2 linked regions of the Drosophila melanogaster genome follow. The protein of the gene in region 1 interacts with the protein of each later gene in a pairwise test. Each region holds a gene or a part of one and is shown in the gene's direction. Other genes may lie near its edges.

Region 1 (5,764 bases):
GGCCGGCGCCTGTGTGGTGGCGATTCCGAATGTCATACCGCCGGCGGCTCAACAGCCGCCGCCCAGTGCTACAGTTTAGTCCAAACCCAATCCACTTTCGGTTGCAGTGTAGGCTCGTTAATTGCATCGCTTATTTCGGATAGAAGGGCCAGATGTTTGGAAACGATTTGCATTTAGCACCCAGCCAAATTTATACGCGAAATTCCTATTAGATACCCATTATTTGGGTAGAGCTTTATAAATTGCATTTAATGTTAGTAAATTTGTCAAGATGTTTCGCTCGGCAGTTAATGCTGCACACAAACTGTAGATTTTATACCTTTCTTGCATTAATCTTAAAAATCCAAACATTCCACGTTTACAAAAGATATTTTCCCAAATTTACCAGTTCATGTAAAGCATTTCCATTTACTTGTAGATATTAAGGAACTTTAGGAGGCAATAATCAAAAGTAGTTTTATAAGTAGCGTGGTCTGAAAGCGATGCACTTAGCGAGAGAGCACTGCACCCGTTCTATAGTAGTTGTTGTTACTGTTGCTGTGAGCTGCTCGTGGTTGTTGCTCGTGTTTCCTAACCCGGCAAGTTTGAAACTGCAGCTCACCTTCGCCTCGCCTCGCTCTCGTCTGTGTTCTGACATGATTCCCTGTGGTATGGCATACACCCAGAACTCACCCACTTTCCGCACCGCACACCCCAACCCAGTATTTTCCCCATAACTCTGCTCTTTTCGGCTTGAATCTAAAAATAAGTAAATCAAAAAAAAAATAAAAAAATCAGTGAAATCTCATAGGATTTAAGAAGTGCATGTTGCGAGGCTTCCAGTTCCAATCTAAAATCGATCCCTAGCTGTAATTAACCAACGTATTTTACACGATACCCTAGTTTCTAAAAATTTTCCATCCCACTCACACCCCATGGTGTCGTACGCTTCACACACTGCACGCCATCTCGCTCGCACCGGTGACGGGCCCACATTCCATATGCATAAATCGTATACACATACTTATATCCTGACAAGACTGCGCCAAGCCAAAATTCCAAAAACCAAAATTGCTCATTTTTGCATGTGAAGTGTGCGAAACCATTAGAAAAACAAAACAAACAAAATCAAAAAAAAAAAAAACGAACGAAAACAATCAAAAAGACAACTGCAATTGCTTAGTTTTAGTTAGTAAATACTTGTCCCATGGAATGATTATATTTCGACTTTTGCATCGTCATTTTGTACCGATATTATTCTTAGTAAATACTAGATGTGTGTGTGCGTACAGCGAGCATTTATTTCTAATTGTTTATTATGTTTTTATTTCTTTCTTTTCCCTTTCCCTTCGATTGCATTTAAAAATTAAAGAAAAAGAAGAAGTGGAAGCCAGTGAGATTGGATCCAATCTGCTATAATAGGCGTCCCAGATGTGTCGAGTTTGTCGACTACTATAACATGTAAATGCTAGACAGACAAGACAACAAACAAAGCAAACTATAAACATTTAAGCCAAGCTAAAAGAAAAAACACAAGAAAACTTGTCAAAAAAAAAAAAAAACAATCCAAATATTACGTATTATTTTATATTTACACATATATATATTTTTACACAAAACATACACTGCGAAATGTATACACTGGATATGTATTTTTTGTAATAAAATCGAAAATTAAACGGTTATTCGCTGCATTTGAAAAACCGAACATATAAAATAATACTATTTTGTCGGTTAAGCGGGGATTGCTCTTTTAAATGGGTAACTTCAAGTTTCTTGATTGTATTTAAATATTTGAAATAATATATTTAAATTATCTAACTTTCTGATTGGAATACGATTTTTTTTAGAATATTAGTGGTAAGGGCGTACCGATAGTTGGCATTCGATGGTTGAGATATCTGGCAACGCCCCGTAGTATATTAGATTAGAACGGCAAAGGTGCGGTCACACTGGCGGAAATTATAAAAATTAATTAAATTAACTTAAACGACCTAAAAAGCGAACTCAACGACAGCTTTGAACGGCCACCGTTGGCGACATGGAAACGGAGCACCTGAAACGACTAGAGGCCAAGGAGGCGGACCACATTCCCGCCATCCTGGACGAATTCAACACAAAGGTGAGCACTGCCAGCGGTTTCTCCCGAAGATTCAACCAGATTATATACCCTTCCTTCTGCCGTAGAATGCGGATCTGCTGGTCTTCGACAGTTTCCGCACAGACAACCTGTGGCACGAACTGTGGCTGGCCATCTTCGGCATATTGGACGACCAGCGGCTTAGTCATCTGCATACGCAGTGCCTGAACACGGTGAGGATTCTAACGCGTGACGAGTTCAGCCTGCAGACGAACTACATCGAACAGGAGGTTAACACCCTGCTGAAGCTGGCTAGGATTGAGGCCGGCTCACTAAAGCTGCCAGCCACGCCGGACGAGCTTAAACAGGAGGAACGCGAGGAGCCCCAGCTGGAGCCCAGCCAGGCCCAATCGGAGGTGATTGCCGAAGCACTTAAGTGTCTGTGCAACTTGGTCTACCAGAGCTCCGACTGCAGGCGCCAGTGCCTGCGGCAACACTGCCTGGATGCAATCCTGAAGAGGGTGGCGTCCTCGATGCGACATCCCTGTGCGTTGGAGTACTACGACATGAAGCTCCTCTTCTTGCTCACTGCATTAGAGCCAGCGGCGCGCTCTCGCCTCCAAATCGATCTGAATGGCCTCACCTACATGACTAAGTGGCTGGACGACAAGCTGGGCGAAGACTCAGTTGGCGAGGAGCAGCTGAACATCATCTGCGAACTGCTCAAGGTGATGTTCAACGTGACCAGTGCTCCGGACAAGAGCCCCAACGAATACGAAATCCAGAGCTTGCATTTGACGGGAGTGCTGAGGGAGCTACTCCTGCGTTTCGGCGACTTGGCCACAGAAAAGGATCGCGCCGTCGTCACACACGCCATCAATCTGCTGACAAACATCTCCGGCAGCTGCCTGACAGAACTCACCCTGCGTTGCTCCAATGCCGAGTTGGAGTCGCACAAGGAAAGAGAGCAGGACAACGAGAAGGAAAAAGATACAGAAGCTGGAGCGGGAGCCAAACCCCGTGAGTGCTGCTCGCAGTGCTTCGAAAAGCGCAATGTTCGGAGTCTGGACGTGCTACTCCGCTACCTAAGGCAATCTCTGGCCCAACAGGAGGCCGAGGCTAGCTCGCATGAGTTGCTTTCCCCAGTGCTGACCGTGCTGGTGAAATGTGCGCGCAGCGATCGAGTTATGCGTCACTATCTACGCCAGGAGATTCTGCCGCCGCTGCGGGACGTTAGTCAACGACCTGAGGTTGGTCAGGAGCTGCGCAATCATCTGTGTCGGTTCCTTACACTGCCCGCGATGATCCTACGAGATCTGTCCGCCGAACTGCTGTTCGTACTGTGCAAAGAAAATGTCGGCAGGATGATCAAATATACGGGCTATGGCAACGCAGCCGGGCTCTTTGCCAAGCGGGGTATACTCGACTGCCGGCGAGTGGAGGGCACCGACTACTCCTCCGACAGCGAGGACAGCGACACCGAGGAGTACAAGCAGCAGCAGCAGGGCATCAATCCAGTCCTTGGCTGCGTAGAGCCGCGCAGCAAGTCGCATCTGGACGACATAAGCGAAGAGCAGAAGGAATACGAGGCTATGCAGCTGGTCAATCTCATCGAACAGCTGCGTCAGGGCGGGATCGTAAAGCCGGCGATGATAGACAAGGACGGGCGCCCGCAGCCGCTGGAACACATCCTTCAGCTGCAGGAGGAGCTGCCGCAGCAGCAGCTCGACCAGAAGCGGAAAACCTAAGCCACAAATGTATTGCGGGATCTGCTATGGCACAACTTCCAAATAGCTACCAAAAAATCACCTTAAACTCTGCATTTATTCCATAAGTTTACTGTCGAATGTAGCTTCGAATGTGTTCAAAAAGCAGATTTTTTTTTTTACATAGTTTATATATTTTATACCACATATTCGAGAACATCTCATTATAACCTACAATTTGTTAACCAAAAATTATCCAATCTGGCTTTGATTTCAGTGATCAGCTTTTGTCTAAATGCCATTATTATTAGTGTTAGCTAAAATAATTATAATCTATCCAATTAGCTTCAATTCGTAGATAAGTTCGGTCTCCCAACTTTTACAGAATTTCTTTAACCATTAACCATGTAGAACGTTGTACTTATTAAGTTATTACGCACTTCGTTGTTATTTTGTTGTCCCGTGAATTGTTCGCACTTTTAAAGTTGATACCATGGCATCCCATAACGTACGGCTTGAAAAAAATAACTAAATGCAAAACAATCGTTGGGGTCTTCCAATTTCAGGAAGTAGGGAGCAGATGAACATCAAATCTGAATTCATTTAAATACACGCCCACACTATAGGACAACTAGGACGACTTTTCATTTTAATAGTTAAGTGCATGTATGTATTATATTTATAAAATTCCAATTATACACTTAGGATCTAGGAATGAAAGCTCTTATTCCGATTCTCAGTTTTCTATTACAAATGATGTTGCATGTGTGTAACACTAACTATAGCTCTAGAATCGAACTAAACGAACTACAAAGTCTATCTATGACAGACGGCAGTGAGGAGCACTTGAAGAGCCATCAAGTTGTGGATGTCGACACGGCCATGCAACCAACTATCCCATCCGCACATTGTTCATGTCCATGTCTAATCTATGTTGTAAATTCCGCATAATAGGGTAAAGGAATAATTCCAAAACTTTCTAAAAGTTACGTGTCTTTGATCTATATACAAGAAATCCTATCTAGAGCTTTATTGTGTTCAATTTGCTATAGCGATGATACTAGTAGATCAACTTATATACATCAAAACATAGTAATATTTTTTGTGCGAGTCTAAATGTACGGCTATCCTAAGCTTAACAATAAAATAAATCAATCAAGGTCATGCTATAATAATCAAGCCACATATTTTCCGATTCATAATGCTTTGAAACTAAATTTTAATTATTAATATTGAATCAGAGTTATAAGGATCGACTCCTCTCCGGCGAGGAGTCCGCCTCTTGAATGTCGCCCTCCATGGGCCTCATGTGATCGAAGCGAGCAATGTAGCTGGGTTTGTGGTGGCGATGGCGGCACGCCTTGTGGCAGTCATTTGGGATTTCTTCTTGGTCATTCTGTTCCAATTTTCGGCGATACTTTTCCTCCTCCCTGCGCTCATCCAACCAAAACAGCTCGTATATGCGGTCGTGCCGCTGGAGTTCATTCGCTCGCTCCAGATCTTTTTCCTTCTGCTTCGGGGGGGTGTATTTGAGAAAGTAGTCGGCATACTTGCTGTCGTTGTCCCGCCCCGGGGAATGCACCGGCTCCGATCCGATCAGCTTTATCGAGTCATTCTGCTGATCCTTCGACAACGATTCATCCGCCTTCTTTTCAGTATGCCCACACACCTTTTCTTCTATCTTCAAGGGTTCGCTCTCCGCCTCAATGCGGCGGCACTGGTTCTCCTTTAGCTTGAGCTCCCGGTTAATCTGCCGCCTTTCCTCCCTCTGCAAAATCTCCATCTGCTGGCGATGCTCCGCTTCTGAGGGAAACCTATCCCTTGTGAAGTAGAACATGCTATGGTGTCTCTCTTTGGGTTTCTTCTCTTGGCACGTCTTGTTTGAGTAGCGATTCTTTGGAATCATACAAGAGTCCCATTGTATCATCCTTGAAGGGCTATCTTTGATGTTGTCCTTCTGGGTCTGAATCGCAGTTTGAACATGGGCCTTCGCTTCGGT
Region 2 (5,580 bases), 8.9 Mb from region 1:
GGAAAATCTATAAGCCCAATCTTAAGCCCAATTAATTTAAATGAATTTCCTTAGTTTTGGCTGTTTAGATTCTCAGGGAAAGCAGTCCGATTTTCTTGCCCAAATGAGCTGGAAATATTTCCCAGCCAGGCACTTAATCTTTCATAATTTCCATGGCTGGGCCTTTGCCACAAGTGTTGACATTTGATAATTTTCATTTAGCCGTTTTTCACTTTTGTGGCGGGGGTGCGCATTTTTGATTACCTTTTTGGCGGTTTTTGTGCGTGCCGCGGGCGTTGGAAATTGGACATGAATTAGTAATGAATTTTGCCCGCAGATGCGTCGACTGAGGCAGCGCAGCGGGCAGAGGCAGCGACAGAGGCGTCGACATCGTGTTTATCTAGGCAGCCCAACTATTTATAATAAAAGGCTGCCAGATTAAAAACACCAAAATAGATTCTGTATCTGCAGCTGCATCATCTCTGGCTGTATCTGTATCTGTATCCGAATGTATCTATACAACAAAATAGCAATAAATGCGAAAACAATGAGCAAACGTTCGAACAAACAATTCTTACAGAACCCACCCCCCCCCTTTCGGCACGCCCCTGACCTACACAACCAGAATAAATAAACAGTAATTATAATTGGCCTGTTTCGGTCTCGAATTCGATTCTTTAGGCATCGGCATCGCATTCGAGGCAGCATGAGTGAGTAAGTCGCTGCGGGCGTTGCTGCCGCAATCGACGTCGATGACGCGGTATCGCCCTATCCCCCTCCTCCCGCCCCCCCAAAAAAAAGCGCCCCTCTTAGGTGCGACCATTAAGGCCCCCTCTTTCGTGCACAATTGCGAATTTATTCTTCGCGCGTTCGCTGGCGAACTGCAAATTGAAACGGGAAATGGAAATGCTGCTTCTGCGTCAGTTGATCGTCATAATCAATGATCGGCAGGCAGATACTTCAACCAATCTAATCGGTTCCAAAGAGATCTTAAGAGACCATTTAGTTGATGGAATACATAGAGCAATTGAGAAACCAATCAATGTGTATGTATTGTATGAGCAGCTATAAACTTGTGCTTCATTTCGAAGAACAATGCATTTAATTATAGATTACTTTTCGAATAGCATTCGATGCTGGCAGGAATTTGAACTTAAATACTTTGTTGGCAACTTAACAACTACAGTATATACAGAAGATTTATGGGCATTTAAACGAAAATCAAATGTTTAATTATAATATTGAAAGTGTTGCTTTTTGGCGGCTTTTTGATCCGTTGGCCAGCGTAATATAAAACAAACTATTTAAATTCGAGTGTAGAATAAGATTGGATGATAAGATTGTGCCAAAAATATCTTAAAGATTCTTCTAGTTTTGTTCTCTATTCGAAGCGAATAGAGATGATCCAAGGCAATAAAAAGGCAAACAAATTGATACCGATTCTGTGAAAGGGGGACAATGTTTTCGCTTATTTGACATTTTTTGAAAAATTAAAACAAAAAAATAATGCAATACAGATAAACACATAAGGAGAATATTTAAAGTGGTTTAGCATCTGTAAAGTAATAAAGAGCATTGCCAATTTCTATAAACCTAGTAGTTTATTAGATTTAAGAAATATTTAAATAGTTAAATTCAATTAGTAATTTGACCTTTTGGCCTTTTCCTTGCTGACTTGAGTGTTTTAAGTTCTAAAAATCGAAATGAATGGATTAAAGAGGTTCTATTTGGCGATAGTGTCTGCAGAGTTCGCCTAGGTGTTGTTATATTCAACCGATCTAAACACATGTATATATATATATATACAAATACGAACAGCAGCAGCCCAATAAACGGTTCGTTTGATTTGACTGCCGGCCCGCCTCCGTATCTTTATCTGTATCTTTAGATATAGTATCTGTATCTGTAGCAGGGGCAGGCGTTTTATTGTTTATTTGCCCGCCGCTTTGCCTTTTGTTATTCGCCAGAATTTTTATTATTTACTATATTTAGGCAGAGGCCAAGAGGAAGAGCAACCTGCTGAATAATTAGTCACAGCCCAACCACGACAGGCGGCACCTGCAAGAAATGCAAAGTAAATTCTTCAATTGCTCAATTCCTCAGCCCATCCCTACGCCGACTGCGCTGCTGACGTCGACGCCAACGCCGACGGCGACTGCGACTGAGGCCCAGGCCATTTGTGCGACTGCTGGCATTCGATTGCCATTCGCACAAGTTGCATGTTCGCGACTCGATTTTCTGTTTCGGTTCGGTTTCCTCATTGTTTTTTTTCGGCTTCCTCTATTTATTTTAATTTTTTTCCGAATTTTTGTTTGTTTTTTTGGGTTGCTCGCGTGCGCTGTGCATATTGGAAATCACCACCCGCCCATTTGCCACCCACTTTGGCCAGCAAAAGCAACGCCAAATAACAAATAAAAAAAAAAAAAATTTAAAAAAAAAAAAAACAGCCAGGGAATTCTAATTAAGTGTGCGCGCTAATGCGTTAAACTGCTAGCCAATTTGTTTTAAAGCCAAAGTGAAAAGGCCTTTATAGTCCATTGTTGGCTGCTGTTTGTTGCTGTTTCGCCTTCAATATTTGAGTGGAAATTACATCCATAATTACGCTTAATCAGTCGATTACTGTCATCGCAAACACGAACCAATCCGCAGACCCACCGCCGCGTTTGATGACCACACAAATGAGTGCCAGGTATGTCGTTACTTAGCCCCGGATAAACAATATCACCCCTAACCTCCCAATCCCAATCCCAATCCGAATCCAGCTAACCAGATAATTAGGCAGATTTCCCGCGGTGGTTTTGATGGTCAGGATGGATGGGTGGTATTTTGGGTGGCAGTTTGCGATTGACAATTGGCTTGCAGTTGCATTCGATTTGCGGTCCACGTGCGGTTGCATTTATCTTTGGGCACATACCCTGCGGTTATTACGACAGTTTTAGGTCGATGACTTTGGCATTCCTCGGTTTATCATGGAAAATGCGATTTTAATCATAGTTTCTGGGTTCTGCGATGCGCCGCTATAGCAGCTTGTGGCTATCAATCACATGAAGATCACATTAGGACACCAAGTGATGCATGTACTCGAAAAAGAACTAAGTAAGAACTGATGGCCATCAAAACTTTCTAAGAGCTTATCACACGCTAGATTTTATTGTATGAATATTCAGAGATATAAAATATATGTATAATTGGAATTTGCCAAAGATGCGAAAACTAATTCAATTTAAACGTATCAGCTACAGTAAATAAAGAAGCCAGGAATGAACTGCACTGCTCCTTCGTTTAACAAGGCATCTGAATCTTTTGGTGAGTGGGATTCGTTTCAAGTTGCTGCAGACACAGGCGACACATACGCTTGTAGATGAGGAGCTCGGGTGGGGGAAGTGGTAGCAGTACGTACGAGCCCGTGGGCTCGAAACCCTTACTCCTATATTCCACATAGAGCGACTGCCTCCAGAGTGAAGTTTTTGGGAAATAGCCGATTAGCAGGAAGTCCAAGGACACCCGCCATTCACCAGCTGTCGAGTTTAGGGCCACGGCGAAGATGGCGAACGAGGCGAGCAAGCGGAACACATCGAAGACATCGCCACGCAGGAACAGATTGCGCACTGCGGCCGGACAGCAAAAGATCCAGGAGCCCCATTGACCGCGTCCCAGGGCGATGAAGAGCTCCTCGAAGAGGCTCAGAAAGGATTGCCACAGCTGGCAGTCGATCCAGTGCACCAGCTGGAGCAGTAGCATTATTTCGGACAGCAGCATCAGGATGTGGACGCGGTGACGACACCGGCGCACCCAAAGTGATCGATACTGCATGATGGTCATGAGTGTGCCGCATCCAAAGTAGACTCCCGCCCAGCGTTCATTGTCGCCCACGATGTGCTTAAGCGATGGATCCAGTGGCGATACCATGCCATGGATCAACGGACGCCAGCGATTCCAGCGCACCAACATGCCAATGGCCAGGATTAGCCAGGTCTCGTAGAGATCGCGCAGCATTTCCCACGACATGCTGAGTTCATGATATCGATTCATCTTGGGCTGGAAGGGAATAATTTTGGATACTATGTACTGTGTAAAGGTGGAAAATGTAGAAAATACTGAATATCTACGTGTCGACTACTTTGATTGGCCATCCGGTAGCTTTACTTGTTGGGGATGAGCATAACTACCACCTCATCGCGCAGGTTTATTGATTAGCTTATGTTCTCACCTTAAACAGTTCACGTAAATGAGGCAACAACTGAAGCATCTGTAGTGGCACCTGCAAGTGTTTATGCATCGCTCTCTTTTTGTTTTTCATCTCCTTCTCCCTTGCTCGCATTCCATACTTGTACACACTTTCTAACACACACACACACACACATGTGCCCGAGGCCTAATAGTCGCCACAGTGGACTGGATACTTTAATTTCCCATTCAAAAATATTAACGAAACTTTGCTTACACATATGATTATTTTATTCTATGCAGAAATTTAGTGCTGCATACTTTTAGACACCTTACGAAGTTTTTTAAGTCTTACTCAGTTTTTTATAGCTAATCTTCTTAGAAGTGCCAAGTGGTGAACTAAAGACCCCCCATTGAATTAAATTTCTTTGCATGCACTCAAACGAAGATAAGAAAAATAATTATATCTAGGTATTTTTCTAATTACTGCATTTTCTTGTTTTTTTCCACAAACTGACATTCGCTGCAGGCGCTGCCTCCAAGGTGTCTGGCAACTAGAACTAACCCCATCGTGCCACCACCCCAACTGCCAACTGCCACCTGCCACACACACCCACACACACAACCAATGCCCCCCGTTCTACCCCCTCACCCCCTCTGTCGTCGGGCCGAAGTAAACAGCATTCGAGGGTAGTGTAAACAATCATTGACCTCGTTCATATTTCTTGGAGCGCTCGCTCATTTGCCTTTGGCCCGAGTCCCAGACGTTGACTCTGCCTGGTCGCAATTAAAATTGTTGTTTAGCTAGTTGCCCCCATGGACGACGTCGCCCCCTGGTCACCCCGTCATCCTGGTCCCCATTTACATTCCCATTCGCATTTCGTGGGGAAAACAGAATCATTCGGCAGGCGGCATTTGGGCACCAATTAGCCTTCGAGAAAAGAGGCAAAAATCTGATTCCATTGCGATTTCTCTGCCCCGGCAAATGATGATGAGCACAAGGCACAAAGGCAAGAAGCCAGAAGGAATTAGGAATCAGGAGCTGAAAGCAGCCCAGAGCCCAAAAGAGCCAAATCACGATAGGCTCAATGGCAAAGACACAAGAAAAGTGAAACAATCAGGGATCCGGTTAATCGGAAAAACCGAACTGGGCCATACGCTTTTATGGCATATTCATTTTAATGGGCATGTTGAGTTTGCAGCACTAAAGTTCCGATAACTATTATCCACTAAAAGTGGCAAATTTTATATTCAGCTTTATAGTTTTATAGTTTGGCAAGAGGATTTTGAAAATGCAGTTAAGTCTTATAAGAAATATGAAGTTTAATGTATAGATAACAATAGATGCCAATAGTTGAAAACCCTTTAAAATCTTCTTTATCTCTTTGTCTTTAATACAATATATATTTGTAAGTTAAGATACGTTCAAATATG

The links.
Region 2: the proteins of ric8a (region 1) and Frq2 interact in a two-hybrid assay, tested with the Drosophila melanogaster proteins (one study listed by BioGRID).

What each region holds. Positions count from the first base shown.
Region 1 is NC_004354.4:9,254,277-9,260,040, forward strand, and holds ric8a (ric8a), read left to right. Parts: upstream 1-1,891; 5' UTR 1,892-2,020; coding exon 2,021-2,101; intron 2,102-2,166; coding exon 2,167-3,807; 3' UTR 3,808-4,926; downstream 4,927-5,764. Other genes in the region: CG17754 (uncharacterized protein), read left to right, coding at 1-73, 1,352-1,444. UniProt on the Drosophila melanogaster protein: Chaperone that specifically binds and folds some, but not all, nascent G alpha proteins prior to G protein heterotrimer formation, promoting their stability and activity.
Region 2 is NC_004354.4:18,175,424-18,181,003, forward strand, and holds the start of Frq2 (frequenin 2), read left to right. Parts: upstream 1-2,188; 5' UTR 2,189-2,668; intron 2,669-3,102; exon of another isoform or gene 3,103-3,261; coding exon of another isoform or gene 3,262-4,011; exon of another isoform or gene 4,012-4,049; intron 4,050-5,580. Other genes in the region: andorra, read right to left, coding at 3,262-4,011.